2 linked regions of the Arabidopsis thaliana genome follow. The protein of the gene in region 1 interacts with the protein of each later gene in a pairwise test. Each region holds a gene or a part of one and is shown on either strand. Other genes may lie near its edges.

Evidence for each region. The genes of interacting proteins can lie anywhere in the genome.
Region 2: the proteins of AT2G39630 (region 1) and ALB3 interact in a protein complementation assay, tested with the Arabidopsis thaliana proteins (one study listed by BioGRID).

Annotation. Positions count from the first base shown.
Region 1 is NC_003071.7:16,519,769-16,527,861, forward strand, and holds AT2G39630 (Nucleotide-diphospho-sugar transferases superfamily protein), read right to left. Parts: upstream 5,016-8,093; 5' UTR 4,794-5,015; coding exon 4,681-4,793; intron 4,602-4,680; coding exon 4,553-4,601; intron 4,033-4,552; coding exon 3,926-4,032; intron 3,770-3,925; coding exon 3,724-3,769; intron 3,435-3,723; coding exon 3,300-3,434; intron 3,172-3,299; coding exon 3,082-3,171; intron 3,001-3,081; coding exon 2,869-3,000; coding exon of another isoform or gene 2,842-2,868; exon of another isoform or gene 2,768-2,841; coding exon of another isoform or gene 2,754-2,767; coding exon 2,670-2,753; intron 2,577-2,669; coding exon 2,512-2,576; intron 2,430-2,511; coding exon 2,240-2,429; 3' UTR 1,976-2,239; downstream 1-1,975. Other genes in the region: AT2G39620 (Pentatricopeptide repeat (PPR) superfamily protein), read right to left, coding at 1-1,710; AT2G39640 (glycosyl hydrolase family 17 protein), read right to left, coding at 5,403-6,587, 6,780-7,244.
Region 2 is NC_003071.7:12,353,892-12,362,448, forward strand, and holds ALB3 (63 kDa inner membrane family protein), read right to left. Parts: upstream 5,678-8,557; 5' UTR 5,268-5,677; coding exon 4,893-5,267; intron 4,805-4,892; coding exon 4,694-4,804; intron 4,584-4,693; coding exon 4,509-4,583; intron 4,432-4,508; coding exon 4,371-4,431; intron 4,287-4,370; coding exon 4,213-4,286; intron 4,112-4,212; coding exon 4,007-4,111; intron 3,866-4,006; coding exon 3,758-3,865; intron 3,666-3,757; coding exon 3,562-3,665; coding exon of another isoform or gene 3,528-3,561; exon of another isoform or gene 3,254-3,527; coding exon 3,104-3,253; intron 3,004-3,103; coding exon 2,778-3,003; 3' UTR 2,430-2,777; downstream 1-2,429. Other genes in the region: AT2G28790 (Pathogenesis-related thaumatin superfamily protein), read right to left, coding at 773-1,597. UniProt on the Arabidopsis thaliana protein: Required for the insertion of some light harvesting chlorophyll-binding proteins (LHCP) into the chloroplast thylakoid membrane.

The sequences.
Region 1 (8,093 bases):
TACAGTACTTTTCTCGAATCCACACTTGTCAAACAAAACTATCGCTGCAGCGAGGGCATCACATTTGGTGAACATATTGATAAGAGCATGTGCCACGTGACATTCTGAATCGAACCCATGCTTTATAATTTGTCCATAAACACAAGAACCTCGAGCATAGTCACTACAGAAGGCACAAGTTTGAAGCATACCAACCATAGTTCTTGAGTCTGGGCATACACCATGTAACTTCATGTTCTTGTACACATCAAATGCTTTATTGGCATCACCAATCTGAGTATACCCTTGCGCTAGAGCGTTGAATGCCACAGCATCTTTAATTGGCAGTCTTTCAAAGGCTTTGAGCGCGGGAGAAAATCGACCACATTTAGCGTACATTGAAATAACAGCTGTGGCAGTTTCCAACTCAGACTCAATATCAGCCTTTATAGCATAACAATGTATGCTCTTACCCAATCTAGAGGCGGCTACTCCTGCACACCCTTGTAGCACACTAGTCAAAGTTACAGCATTAGGCTTGATATGTATTCTCATCATATCTCTAAACAAAGAGATAGCCTCATCGTGTTGCCCTGCTTGCTCATACGACGCAATCATGGCAGACCAAGAAACAACATCTCTATCTTCAATATTAATGAACAGTTGTTCGGCTATCTCCAACTCACCACATTTGGAATACATACTCATAAGAGAAGTAGCAACTGAGACATCACCGATCAATCCTTGTTGCACTGCGTAATCATGAATTGCAATCCCCTTCACTAAATCCCCTACATATGCAGCAGCTTGAAGAGCACTTGCTGCAGCTACCTTATTCATTCTAACATCATAGTTTCTCATAAGGTCAAACAACTCCAATACCTCCTCAAAGAACCCATTATGTGCATAAGCTGCCATCATTGTACCCCATGAAGACTCATCCTTCCTCCACACTTCTTCAAAAACAGATTCAGCAGCATATAAATCCGCGCAGTTGCAATACATGTCAATCAGCCCACTAGAGAAAGCAAAGATAAAACCTTTCTTAATCACAAGTCCGTGAAGACATCTACAGACATCACTCTTCTCTAGCTTCGAAACCGCAGGGATCAGATTATATAAACTAACATGATCAATGTCAACACAACACGAACGCATATCATGAAACAACAGCAAAGCTGCACTAGAACATCCATTTTGAGCCAACCCGGAAACCATAGTGTTCCAAGTAACAACATCCTTCACATGCATTTTATCGAACACTTGTCTTGCAGAAACCAAGTCACGAGCTTTACAATACATTTCAACTAACGCAGTTCCTATATAAACATCAGACTCAAGACCCATCTCAGCAATCAAATCATGTATCCGTAAACCCTTCTTAAAGTCCATAGATCCGGCACAAGCCTTCAAAGCAAAAGTGAAACTGTACTTGTCTGGATCAATACCTTTCTCCTCCGACATATACCCGAAGAATCCGAGAGCTTCTCTGTGCAAACCGGCTCTCGTGTATCCTCTGATCATTGAATTCCACAAGACAACACCTGGATCTCGAACTGAATCAAAGATGACGCGAGAAAGGTCCTGTCTTTGAAAGAGAGAATAAGCGTTTATGAGCTGGTTATGAGGTTTAAGACCTGAGACTATCAAGCTGCCGTGAACTTGAAGAAGACACCGGAAGTTCTTACATTCCCGGAGCATAAGGAGGAGGTTAGTGTAGTTAATTGGCATTTCACCGGCGACGAGGATGCATTTGCAGTTTTTTGGCGGTTTATAGGAAAAACCGTTAAATTTGAAAGCTTCAAAATTTTCTGTAATATATAAATTATAAAATTGAAGTCATTTAATTAGAGCGATTTAGTTTATAAGAGGATCAATCAGTTCCTAAGATTAAGACTTTAATCTTTAGTTCATGCCATGAAGATGTAAAACTCAAAGTAGAGCACTGTCATTGGAATGTTTGAGTAGTTTAAACTTTTTTTTTTTTTTTTTTTTTGAACAAAGTTTGAGTAGTTTAAACTAAAACCAAAAAAAAAAAAATCTAGAGCTGTAGTAGTTTCATTTCATCATTTATAATCCGGTAAGATTTTTATCACATCTATTGAAACAAAGACCGACATATTTTCTATCGCCTTAGCTTTCCTTGAGCTTGACCAGAAATTCAGAGACATCAAAACTATATCCTCTCTGCAGAAAACCAGCGTGGACGAGTTGTTATTCCCAAGAGGAAATGCTCTATGTATGTTGTTGTCTATGTGTCTCATACTTGATGGATCTTCCACATGCCAGTTCTGTATCCCACAGACATTAAAGCAAGCTCCCAAAGCATGTTTGGAATGCTCAACATACTGACTTTAGACCCGGGAATTTCGGACCATTTCACAGAGATTTCAACCATTGGTATATTAAAACGCTTGCACAAGTACACCAATTCAACATCAAAGCACCACCTGCGCATAGACCGAGTCAGATGAGACTCTTATTGATGTTTTTACTGCTAGTTTATCATCATCGATTCATTTACTCATATACCTTTTCAGATGGACGTTTGTGAAAAGTCTCCTAGCAGCAGCCCTAGTAAACATCTTGAAGCCACACTGATTAAAAAAAATGATGTTTAGTTATTACTATTCAAGATTGGTGAAACAGAGAGTGTAGAAGGAAACAACGAATGAGATTTAAAAAGCCACCTGTGTATCCCGAATACCAGGACCAGCAGCTAATAGAACCACAAGATGGAAACCCTTCATCAGAAAGTTGCGATACCATTTCCTCTGAAATTGAAAGACTAAAAGTCAATTATCTAAGATGCGTAATAAGTATATGCATCTGTGTGTGTACATAGACAAAGAATGATGTTGTCTAGAACAGAAGTTTGCAAGACTTAACTGTAGCAAGAGCTTTCTCCTCGAGATGAGCACGAGAACCAAATGCGGATACTTGAACATCACCTATTTTGAAATCCATATCCTTAGATGCTGGATTTCTGATTGAATATTCTTCTCTGGCTACTGCATTGATCTGAGAGGCTAGGAGATCAGGAAATTTATAGCACAATTTCTAGTTTCTCTGAAGTTTTAACAGTCAAAACTAAGGGCAAACCTGATTTTCAAGTTTTTCTAGGTCCGTTACTTTAGTTGCTCCATCAGCATCCAACATGAGAAGTAGCTGACCCCGCGAATGCAACATTCCCTATTCAATGCTTTCAAAAAGTAGAAAGCTTCGATTATTTTTTTGTACTATGAAATGACAAATTTACAGTCTTACTCAATCACATAAAATAAATATATAGAATTGCATGCGCTACGAGTTGAACTCACTTTTCTTATAGCTTCTCCTTTGCCTTGATTCTTCCCAAGGGGTATAACCCTTATGTTGTCAATTGTGTACTTTCTAATGAAATCAAAAGCTACTCTTTTTGTTCCATCAACACTTCCATCATCAACAATCACCACCTAAAAGGAGAAAAGGTAAACTTAATCCACTGATGCATATAGGGTTTAAGGAACACAATAACGACTTATTGAGAAATTTAGCATGAGTGGGCAGTCTATATTGATAGATTAATAAGTTGTGAGCATTACTCTCCTTTTTTTAATAGAGTTAGGTAAATCAAATTTAGGGACAAAAAACGTTTAAAAGCTCATACATATTCACCATAACAAAGGCCATATCTATGTTAAGAATCCACCTTAATCAGTTGTAAGGAGAACTACTTAGTATGGAAAACTACTTAGTATTTACCTCAAAAGAAAAACTCTTGTCCCGTGATGCACGATCTTGAAGGTAACTGCAAACCAGAGGCGAATTACAATTATGCCTCTGTAGTATGCATAAATAAGACTTGTGCTGCTGTTTCGCAAGAGAAGCAAACTTCTCACGATTGGAAGCAGACACACAATCCAGTAAAAGGGAGATTCGAATAAGTGGAAGTTGTCTAACTTACTCCATTGTTTCCTCAAGAGCAGCAGGAAGTCTCAGTTCTTCATTATACGCTGGAACTATTAAAGACAAATACTTCTCGGCAGGGTCGGTAATATGAGGGCAAGGAATCTGATAATAAAGTTTGAAAAACAGGGTCAGGAAAAGTAAAATCAGATTCCTCAACCACCAGAAAATGCGATCAAGCAAGTCAAACTCGTTATAATTGACAAGACAATCTATGTATGGATTCAACATTATAATGGAACACTTAATTTTTCTAGCTAAGCCACTAACTTAAGAGTTTCCAAAGTCTGCATCTGGAAGAGACTCCATAAACTACTTATCAAGTTTCACACGACTATACAATATAACTTCTCAAGCTTCTTTGCTAAACCAAAATGTAACATTTGATACAAAAAAAGAGCTAAACTAATGGAAACAGTTCCTCTTAAAGACTACGTGAAGCTTCAACATTCGTTTTAGCGAAACACAGAATCAAGTGTTCAAATCGCCAACGCAAAACCTTTTTAACGAGAAAATCTCAGTTCCATTAACTATAATTAACTGATTTTCAAAACGCTATCGTTCTTTGCCACACTATTGCCAGAAAATCACTGTAAACTAATACGATAAATCAATCAGACGTTACCGGTTTTATAGATTTCGGATCGTCGAGTGTAGTCACGGTCTCGACAGAGCTGAGAAAATCCAAAACAAATCAATCAAATCTTATCCTCAGAAATCGGAACAAATTCGAAGAAATTGAGTAAAACGTACACGTTACTGTGTCTCCTTCTCCAAGCTTCAAAAACAACAACGGATAGAAATCCGAATAAGACGATCAGCAGCAGCCAGAGGCTGAATTCCGCAACTGTTACCAGAAACTCCATTGTTGCTCCCGAGATTTGAGATCTGTTTTGCTTTCACGAGAAAGAGAGAGAGTGAAGAAGGAGAGATCGAAACCAATCCGTGAAGAATAAGCAAGAAAAGCTAAAGTCTAATGATTGATCCGTGAAGATGGTTCAATCCCTAATTTCAGATTAAAATGCAGCAGAGCTCAATTTGAGATAGCCATTTCGGTTTGACTTTTGGTTTAGCCATTTAGGTTCCGGTTCGTTTGGTAGTGTTAATGTTGAACAAAATCTCAAATTATAATAAAATAAAGTTTTATTGATTAACAATTTTCAATATACAGAAAAAAATGTGGATTAAAATATGTTAAAGAATAAAACTGATCAATATTATGATTTGGAAATGGCAGATTATATATATGAATAACTAGAAAATGAATAGATGGAAATGACAAAGTATAATTTGGATATTTTACCATATGTATATAATTTTTCTTTTTCATGTACATGTCTACATAAATATTTGAAAAATATAATGAAAATTAAAGATACAACATAAAAACAACGAAAAATGATTGTTCTTATAATGAAATAAAAGGATCTTGTTTTATTGATTTTTTTCAGTTTCTGTAGTTGCTTTTTAAAAATTCAGAGCGTTACTGATGCTGGTACGACGCATGTGCTAGTGCTTGGGTTGGTAGTAGTGACGATGCCACTACCACGGAAGTCACAAGCGTCTTTGGAGTATCCTTTGCTCTCGTAATAAGCGTTCATTATGAACGTGGATCGAGTCTTCATGTTGTTGTTATCAAAACATATGCCACCAGGTGATATTGGTTTACAATCAATACCTTGGCTACACACCCAATCAATATTAGCTTGTAGTTGTGTCTCTGTCGCTTCTTGTTTCGCCATACACCAATTTGCACTTTTGCTTTTTGCGCCATTGCCGCCGCCACCTTCCCCTATCGGTATAGGGCATGTGCTAGTGCTTGGGTTGGTACTGGTAACGATGCCAGTACCGCTAAAATCACAGACAACATCAACGCATCCCTTGCTTTGGTAATAAGCGTTCATAATAAACGAGGACCGAGTCGTCATGTTGTTGTTGTCAAAACATATGCCACCAGGTGAGATTGGTGTACAATCAATACCATGGCTGCATACCCAATCAATATTTGCTTGTAGTTGCATTAACGTCGCTTCTGGTTTTCCCACACACCATTTTCCATTGTTGTTTATCGGTGGAAACGGAAGCGGGCTTCCACCGCCTTTTAGAACTCCAACATCATACATCGGTGAAAAATCCGGTTTAAATATCCCCCAATTTCTCTCACGTGTTGGACCGGGTTTTCCATCTTCATTGAACAATGCAAATATGAAGATATCGATGTGGCGGTTGGGCATTAGAGGTGTCCCTATAACTTGTGCACGCTTGATGATATTGAGGTTGTAGTTTTCAGCGTTTTGAGGTGAGCACCATGAAGCGTCACAAGCCGTGGGCCAACCGGTCTCCCCTACCGCGATATCTACGTCGCCATAGCCAAGAGCTTTCATAGCAGAATATGTTGCATCCATGACTGCGTCAAACATGTTGGTGTAGGTTTGTTGTGTATTGGTATCCGTTATTGCATTTGATGGACCAAATATTGCGTAATTGACATTGTTCGTGTCCATCGTGAAAAAAGTGTAGGCGTTGATCATGAATGGGGACTTAGCCTGACGATGAAATTCCAAGATCTTTGTAAAAATATCTTTTTGATCGTTAGTAAATCTGCTCTCACTTGGTGTATTACGGTTATAGCTTATGGTAAATGCATGTGGAGTTGTCACCTGAAGCCAAATAATGGTGGATTAATTACATTTTGTTGATAGTAGTATCAAATAACAACGTATTCAAAAAATATTTATGAAATATGATTCATATGTAAAAAAACAAAAAAAAAAACATTCATGTATTAGTATTAGTGTTTTCGTAAACGCAAGTTTTTTTTTTTTTTTTTATCATCATGACTTGAAACTAACCTTGATATAAGTGAGATTGGAAGCTTTTAAAGCTTCGTTAAGACTTTGCATCGCTGGTACAAGATTTGATATCAAGTTATTGTCGTTACTAGCAAGAATCTCGTTTCCGACACAAACGTATTTGAACTTGATCTGCTGCTGAAACGGTAAGACATTGGCAGCGACCCATTGACGAGCATTTGCAACGTTGACCATGGCAGGAATGTTACCGTTAGGGACCATGATGGTGATGTTGATTTCAGAGCCCGCGAAGGCTCGGAGGATGTCGGGATTAGCATCATAGATCTTGACACTGTCAAAAGTGGTCTTTGTCTTGATGAAGTCAACCACTTGTTGTGGAGGTTGAAGGTTCCCTAGTGTTCCATAGTTGATACCAATGGCGGAAGTCACGGCTGAGAGTTGAAAGATCACGCCGGCGACTATGAGGAGGAAAGGGAGAATGAAAGACCGAATCGTTTTGGCCATTGCTTTGTTTTGTTTTGTTTTGTTTTGTGTAGTAAGACTAGGCTAAGAATAAGCGTGTATTTATACTACTAATGTAGATTCTCCATGTCTCTACAATTTTTCTTTAAAAATCTAGTGAAATTAATGTAGATGATAAGCATGAACGTTGCCTTTTATATTGTAATCAAATTTGATGTAATATAAACTAATATAGAAGAACCGGGCGGCAACAAATGGTACACAATTTTATTAAGTTTACATCACTAAGAGAGGTAGATCTTATACTTAATTAAGAATAAAATGGAATTTAATGGGAAGATCTTATACCTAATTAAGAATAAAATGGAATTTAATGGGAAGATCATATACTAAATTAAGAATAAAATGGAATATAAGTTTGGATAACATGTCATATGCATCAAATACATTTATTATTAGTTCATCATGGATTTATTGAAAGAAAGAAAGAAATATATCATTGGCTTTTTATTTCTGGATGAATACAAAATTGTGGATGATTGGATATGACCGTAGATCTTAGAATTTAGAAGGCAGATTTAACTTGTTTATGTGACTTAACCAGATACGGACTAATCGGACCATTAGTCCGATAATTAGTCCATCGACCACAATTAACTAATTGCATTTCTGGCGTAACTGTGCAATAGTGATCTGAAATGAGAGGTCATAACATACGTATACCACATTGGTATGAATAATTATAAGAAACATTGATCATAACAGTGATTTGTTAATCATATTTTCCTGGTAAATTGTTATTACAACACTCAATAACACGGGGAAAAGAACCCCAAACAGAAACATGCTTATTAGAACAATCTCTCCCAATGTCGAATCATACAACAGCGG
Region 2 (8,557 bases), 4.2 Mb from region 1:
ATTAGTTTGGATTTTATCTCAGGATATCCAACTTTTGTAAAAGAAGTGTTAATACTTAAATTTCTCTCGCACACAAAAAAGAAATGAGAATCTTTCACGTGAAGATGCAGCTTTTTTCGTATTGAGTGTGTTTCATTCCATGCCTAAAGAAGTCTTGTGATATATGATTTACACCAATAATTTTTTCTTTATTGGATTTTTCTTTTCTCTGTAAGTTCAATATAGCCACTGTACAATTCAGATTTTTGTCTTTTTTTTTTTAATAAGTTTTTGTTAAGCGAAAAGTTAAATATATTTACTACCGATATACTACTTGATTAGTGGTTCACATTATACATTAAAAAATGTGGAAACTCGTGATATAAAATATCTTACCGACAAATACAAAATAAAAAGGTGTAAGAACAAAACACTGTCTAAGCCTGCAAGCCTCGAATAAAAACAATGTACCTTTTTTTTAATATCGAGTAAAAACCGTGAATATCAACTGAAAACAAATCATTCTTTCAAAATGGTTATTCTTGAACCAAAATTTTTTAAATTGTTACCATTCCAATTATAACTTCTCTATCAATGTTTAAGCATTACAGAATCGAAATAAAAAAAGAGAATTAAAGAGAGCAATTTCAAGATAATACATAATTTCATAGTTGGACTACATAACTGAACCGGGAAATCGCATACTAAACCAATCAAAATCAGACTAACCAAACAAAAGCATTAGAAGATCAGTCCGATGTTACGACAATAACCCTAGAACATGGCCGAAACATTAGTGGCAGAAGATGACTTTGAGCTCTCTAGGAGAAGCACAGTCATGCATAAGCGAAGGACTATCATGAGCAAAAGTGAAACTCGAAGGACACGCATGCTTAAAGAACAGCGAATGGCTCGAAGCTTTACACGTGTTAGGGCTATTGTAATGACCACGACAACACAGCTCGTCTGTATGGAAAGCCTCACACCCACTCTTACAAGCCACCACGTGTCCACTGTGTGACCGGACCTGAAGATGAGCCGGACACGTTTTTATTAGATCTTCACGACAACCAACGACAGGACAGACACCATGGCCTTCGTGAGGAGTCACGGTCATCGGAACATTGTAACCGTCAACGAGAGAGACACCGTAAGAGGAGAAGTCGTGGTGACCACCGTGGTGGAGGTCGAACTGAGCTAGAGAAGCTGGTGGTGCCCCGCCGAGACCGTTGCATTCCAGGCGGTTTCCGCAGTCTCCGGTGAGGCAGGAGAATTTTCCGTTGTAGTGGGCACACCAGGTTCTGGCCCAGATGCGACCGGACCAGTGTGTGGTTGGAACGTTGAAGGAGCGGTGAGTGAAAGTTGGGAGAGCGAAGCCACCTTTCTCTAGGACGGGGTGGCCGGCGTTGGGTTGAATGGCTGGCCAGACAGTGAAGGGACAGTTGTTGACGACGGTGAGGAAGAGACGGGAAGTGTCTACGGCGGAGGAGAAGGAGATGAGGAGGAGGAAGGAGGCGGCGAGAGGAAGAGAGGTTTTAGCCATTGTGTAGCTTTTGGTGTGAAAGGTGTGCCAATGCGACGTGTGTGTATATAAGCTAAAGTATTTTTCGATATGCATACATTTTTTGGAGTGACGAAAATACCCTTTGGATGTTTTGGGTGGTTAGGCAATGAATTTAGCATGTGGGTTTAAGGAGGCGAAGGGCTTTAATGTCAGTTTAAAAGAGATGAATATTGGATTCTATTTCTATGAGTCAAAAGCTTGAAAGCTCTTTAAAGAATAAAATGATGGCATGTGGTTTGTGACTAACGAAGCTTTGTTTCCTTCATTGGTAAACTAATCCTAATGTGTGTTTTTGGTAAATAGCACTATTTCGGATGGTTGAAAAATAACATATTCTGAAAATATTAGGCAGATATATTAATTTTTAGCTGTTTCCAACAGTTTTGCTTTTCTAGGATAGTAAGCATTCACATATGTAATGTTTACAAGTTACAATGAGTAAACCATAATGCAAACATTTTAGATGGACCGATTGATTTATGTGTTCTAAACTTCTAAACCTATTGAAATGTACACTCTATTACATGCTATGTGACTCATGATTGTAACAACATGACAACTTTCTCTGAATATTAGTGTAATGTGGCTACACTGACAAGTTATATTCGTTCAGATTAGTAACAGGGTTCTTTGACAAACACATCAAAACGACAAACACCAAACGACAACACGACAAAACAAGATGTCTTTTGTCTACTTGTACAACTTCGAGAATTTGAAAATCGTGTAACCATATCTTGGGCCTCAGCCCAATCCAAATCGTAATATTTTTACCTCTCTCTATTTTATCCATGCCAATCCAAAGAACAATGCTTCTTTGTCAGGAAGTAATTGTTGTTTATTCATGGGGAATCGTTGTCTCGTTTATTGCACAAATTACTATACTACTTGATTCACATTTACCATTTTTATAAGCTGACAAAGCTAATAAAAGCACCAAACAAATAGATTGCAAGTTTACAACAACGAAATGCTAACAAAACTGAAGCGGGCATGTTGAAAAGTCATAATAGTACACACATTTACGTTAATACATTTATAATAAGATGAATCACATAAACAATTTACTTTGATCAACTACTGCTTTTAACTTTAGAATGACCTTTTTGTGCCCTAATATTAGATAATTACCGGACATGGTGTATGCAAATATATATCAAAAGATCAAACTAAGGAACAAGATTCAAATCTCTCTCTTTTCTCTTCCTTACTTGCAATTTCGTTTGCTTTGGTTCTATACAGTGCGTTTCCGCTTCGATCTTTTGCTTCTTCGTTGGCCAACCTCAGGAAGCGGCTTGCTTGTTGTGCTCGAAGCTAACGCTCCTTCACGAGCCTCTTCTTCCTCATCATCAGACCCTTCTTCTGATTCAGACTGAGATTCTTCTACCAATTCAACTGTATCTTTCGCAACCGCCTTGTTCTTCTTGCTGCGCTTCTCTTGCTCTTTTAATTGTCTAAATCTGTTGTGATCCAATATACATTTATCAGAAATAACAAACTTGTAAGAAAAACGCTTCGTATTGAGAGATATAATCTCCACTAGACTCGGGATTCACTTACCTTTCGCCAGCATCGTCAGGCTGAGCAATAGATCTCTTTGCTCGTCCCGCACTTATTATTTTGCTTGCGTTTTCATCCATATTTGGCTTTGCACCACCTAGTTTACGCAGATATACTTGTTGGGCGGTACTAAGTACATTATTTGTGAGCCTAAAACCATAGGATGGTTTAACATAAGCAGTAGCATAATAAAAAGGGAAAAAATAAAACTCAGATCCTACCAATAAACACAGTCATATACAATAATATTGATGTTACAAAATGTAGTCACACTAGATGATTCCTTATCAAACAAGCTTCGTATTCCTCGAAATTCTAACCCGTCTTACGTACATTTTGAGAATGAAGCCATCTAGGTTAATTACTAGAGAAAATCTTTCTTATACTCCATTTAATGAGTAGATCAAGGGCATGGATAAAACAGTTAGATGAGAAGTTTCAAGGAGAGGGAAACCAACCAGTAAATAGATAGTCCTGATGGGACAGACAATGCAAAGTAACCGATCATGAGTGGAAGAAACTTGAAAACAAGAAGCGTATTCTTCTGTGCAGGATCATCAGTCTGACAAAAGAAATTAAATTCGGTTTCAGAACAATCATATCAAATTGTTTAAGTAACAGGAAAAATAAAAGAAACTTGTGTTTATTTCTCACTTGAGGAGGCTTCATAATTTCCATTGACACATACTGGGAGGCAATAAGTAGAACAGGTAGAACAAGATAAGCTACAGTGTCATACCATCCCAATGGTGGATGCCCGTCCTGCACCACCGAACGATATTAGACACCAATTTGATAAAGGTTCATTGCACAGCAAAAGACTCAGTTGTATGAAATTTTTTAGTATAAAGATAAGTATCAAATGAGAAAACGTATTCACATAAAGTTTTTTTCTTCCATTACCACAAACGGAAAAAGCCACGAAATGCCGGATCCACTCTGCCGAGCAGCTATAGATGTTGGTCCACCCAGAGATGGAATCCAAAAGAAACCTTCTGTAAACAATCCCTACAAAAAAAAAGTTTTTAGAACAATTAGTAGTTGAAAGAGACAAACTTATCCGGTCTCTAGCGAAATCAGTAGTTGAAAGAGACATAAGGTATATGTACCTCGTTGGCCACGTTAGAGAGAGCTTGGTATAAACCAATCCAAACTGGTATGGTTGCTAAAGTTGGTAAGCAACCTAACATAAAAAAAACAATAATGTGCATATGTCACCACAATTCAGGAAGGGAATACAAAACTCGTAACTTCTAAAAGAAAGTACCTGCCAACGGATTAACACCAGCTTGTTTATACAATCGCGATGTCTCTAGTTGTATCCTCTCCTATATATCCAAAAACAGAACAAACAAATCAGACTCGTCATCCACAAGTAACTCATTCTCTATCCAAAGAAACTCACCTGATTTCCTGCGTAACGTTGTTGAATCGCTTTGATTTTCGGTTGAAGATTTTGCATCGCTAGTGTTGATTCAACCTAAAGGATTCCAAAACAAAAGCAATGCTCAAAAATTCTCAACCAACATGCCAAAATTGAATCAAAGTGACAAGAGGAGCTGCAAAATTCAACTAATCACACTCACTAACCTGTTGCTTAGTCAAAGGATACGTCGCTGCTTTGACGATAATCGTAAGCAAGATAATCGCAAATCCATAAGCATAAGGTACATGAACCGCTGATAATCCATCCTTCAAAATCTAAAAATCCAAACCAAAAAACTTAAGCTACAAATACAATTTCCAGAATTCTACACACAGAGATCGAAATTAGCAGCTTAAAACTCACCTTAAGAACCAATTCCATAGCATCGGAGATAAAACCAAACCAACCACCACTCTTCTGCACGGCGGATGAATCAGTAGTTACGACGGAATCAGCACCAACAACGGCGGCGTCAGCTATTGTATAGAGAAGAGATTCAGCTCTGGTGAAAATCGCTCCGATGTCTACAGATGAATCCAAGCCATGGAAAGGAGGAATCTCGTTTAAGCTGAATCGTACGGTGGTTGAAGTAGTGAAGAGTTTGTTATTATTACTCCGGTATGGAAGAAATTGAGCGGTTCCTCCTCCTCCTACTCCACTGTGACGGAGAGATGACGACGGTTTAATCAACGGTGAACCGAAGAATGAAGATGGAGACGAGACTAGAACTCTCGCCATTGGAGCTTGAGAGGAGGATGAGAAGAGACGAAGAAGAAGATAGAGATTTTTATTTTTTTATTTTGTAAATTTTTTTCTGGATTTATCTTTTTTTGAAAATAAATTGGAAAATGAAAATGAGAGACGAAGCTGGTGATCGCGCGTGGTGGAGATTACATCCAGTCATAGGAGTCCACGTGGACATGTATCTAACGTGGGATATATCGGTGCTTTTTGTAGTTTGGGCTTATTAGGGCCCATTTTAGAAACAGGCCTGCTTAACTTAATAGGCTTAATTACCAATCCATCAATCTCCAAGCTCAATGCATGGATCACTTCCCCAACACAAAATAAAACTGAAAGCATACAAAATAGAAACCGATTTAGAAAATACTTTATGTAAATACTTTTCTATAAAAATCAAATCTCGAATGCTTTGTGAATGTATGGTAAGCTTTTCCACAAAATATATATAATTGTGAAGAAAAAGCTGCGTACTCTCTTTCAATTAGTTGACATCGAATCTGATTCTCACACCACCACCTTTCTTACTTTTATTTCTTGTCATTATCACTTTCTTTCCACGTTTTATATTATGTAGTTTTTATAAACAAAAAAACAAATGAACTAATCTGAAACATTTATCGAGAACCTATACACAACCCTAAAAAGGTAAGCTTGAGTCATAGGACTTAACTTCCCAAAGCCATAATCCGGTTCCCAAATCTTCATAACTTACGAAATAGTAAGTGATTACAAGGCCTTTAAAGATTAATCCCACAAAGAAAATGTATTTAACACTAGAGCTTGATCGATGTCTATAATGAGTTCAGCCTAAATAATGGTCGTAAATAATGCTCTCTAACGTAAGATAGTTATAAATTACGCTTTGAGTCCCAAGTCTAGTGGAAAAAACAAATGGGATAGAATTTTCATGCTTTTAGGGAATTAAATGTGACCGCAAATGGGACTAAGTAAAATCTTTTGGATAATGATCTCTAGTGTTGTATAGATTTTAGGATCCTAATCTCTCAGTTAATAAGCAAAAAGAACAAGGTTTAAATGTTCATAGAGGGATTCGTTCCTTAATCTCTAGCTCAGATCGATAGCTTCAAAACCTATAATCAATAATCTCTCAATAATTTTTTACCAAAAAAAACAAACCTATAATCACCGGCTCGCTCTAAGTGCACACCCATACGTTTATGTGATGTAATATTCAACAAAACATAGCTAACGTTATGAGTTTTTTTAAGCATCATACTGAATTAAATATCTTCCACATTGTTTTCAAGAATCATCCACCGTTCCTCAATTATATTTCACACGTCACGATCATATATAGACCTATACCAAATACTATATATAGAAATTAAATTTAAAGTTGTTTTGAAAATAATTATATTTGTTATTATTATTTTTCGTTGTGAAATAATTATTTATTTCATAATTTGTTTTTTAACATAAATTTTTGATAGAAATGATGATGTTGTAAGTTTGACAAAAAAAATAAAAAAAATGATGATGTTGTATTTTTTTCTTAATTTTATATGACAACGAACGATTAAGAGTTCGTATTTATTGTTTTATAACATAACGACGTCGACACAGAACTTTCAAGGCTAAACTCACTTTTTGATGGAGACGTAAGAATAATTTATGGGTAATAACTCATTAATTTGTTACTAAATAGAAATTATTTCTCTAAAATGCTTTTCAATTCATATACAAAGGATACATAGGAAAATTATAAAAAGTAATATTTGTATGTACGGACCATCAGAATAATAACGTAATATTTTTTAATCAGGTTGCATATTACCTCGGGCTTCCATTGATTAATGGGTGCATAAGTAATTAAGTAAATTCATATGCAAAGTTAAGAGTGGTACAAATTATAACCGCATATGCGTTCTTTAAAAAAGTAATTATGAAAATTTGTTCGGCAGATGAAGCAAATGATTAGTACACCTATGCCAAATCTTAAAAAATTAGAATGGAAAGCGATATATGAAATTGAACGTAGTCATATTGAATTCGTAATCGAGACTTTCACTATTGTTTTTAAGAATGTTTGGACGAGAAAGAAGCTCATAAAGCAATAAATTAGTTAACGTTCATAATTGAAGCATTGACACCAGGAGAGAAAAAAAGAGCAATTCATTGCTTCCCTAGTAAAAAAAAAAAAAAAAAAAAAAAAAAAAAAAAAAAAAATCAGATATTTGTGGATAAAGAGTTAAAAGAAATTGTTTCGTCATTTTTTTCTGTCATAATTTCGTCAACTTTTTGTTTAACAATATGCATTATATAAATTTTATTAATAATAGTAACACATAGACACGATTGTAGCATAAACCACTAAAATACATGGTTTCAGTGTATCTAAGCTTTTGACATGTAGAAGTTCTACGTTTTTCATGATAAATTCGAAAAATTATTGAGAAATGATATATGGTCAAAATGAAGAAAAAAAGAGAGAAGATAACAACAAAATGGAGAAGGACAAGAGCACAAAAGAGATGAGTGGGATTATGAAAAGGTTTGCTGATGATTTCATGCATGATCAACTAACGTTAAAGATTATTTGTTTTTAGGGTAATAATACAACATATACGCCATTTTAGGCAATCTCTTTCTGAAAAAGATGTTCGCATTTATATACGAAACGACTGATTATTAAAGATATATACTACATACAACAAAATCGTTAGGGAAAAGTAAAAGAGAAGATAAAATGTAGAGACAATTTGAAAGATCTCTTCTTTGTTCTTCTTTTGAAAATAAAAATAAAAGTAGACATAAAATAGAAGTTGTAAATGACAGGTTTCATCTTTTTCATGCTTTTTTTTCCCTTTCTTTACGTCGTTTGATACCGAGTAAAGTTATTTTCATACTAAGATTCAGTCATTATTCTTGTTAGAGTTATTGTTCTTATATATTGAAATATTAATATCAATAGGAAACGAGATTAGTATCATAGTTTTTTAATGATGACGTAGAACATTTATATTTCATTGAATAGTTAATAGTAGACAATCAATGGTTGTTTTATTGTGAATTTGGTTCACCCCTTTCATTTGTTTTATTGCAAGATTACAAGCTTATATATGTTTGCAATCAACAAGATAATTAATATATTCAAAAAAGATTCATATAAGAGATAAAACCATCGCCATGAAGATATCTAATGAACGAAGACGAAAACGACAGATCAGGGACAAGCCTACTCTTGAGTCTTGACCCACAAAGATACCCTAATTAAGCTTTCATGATTACGGATCTATATGATAATGAACCCTATTAAGCAAAGT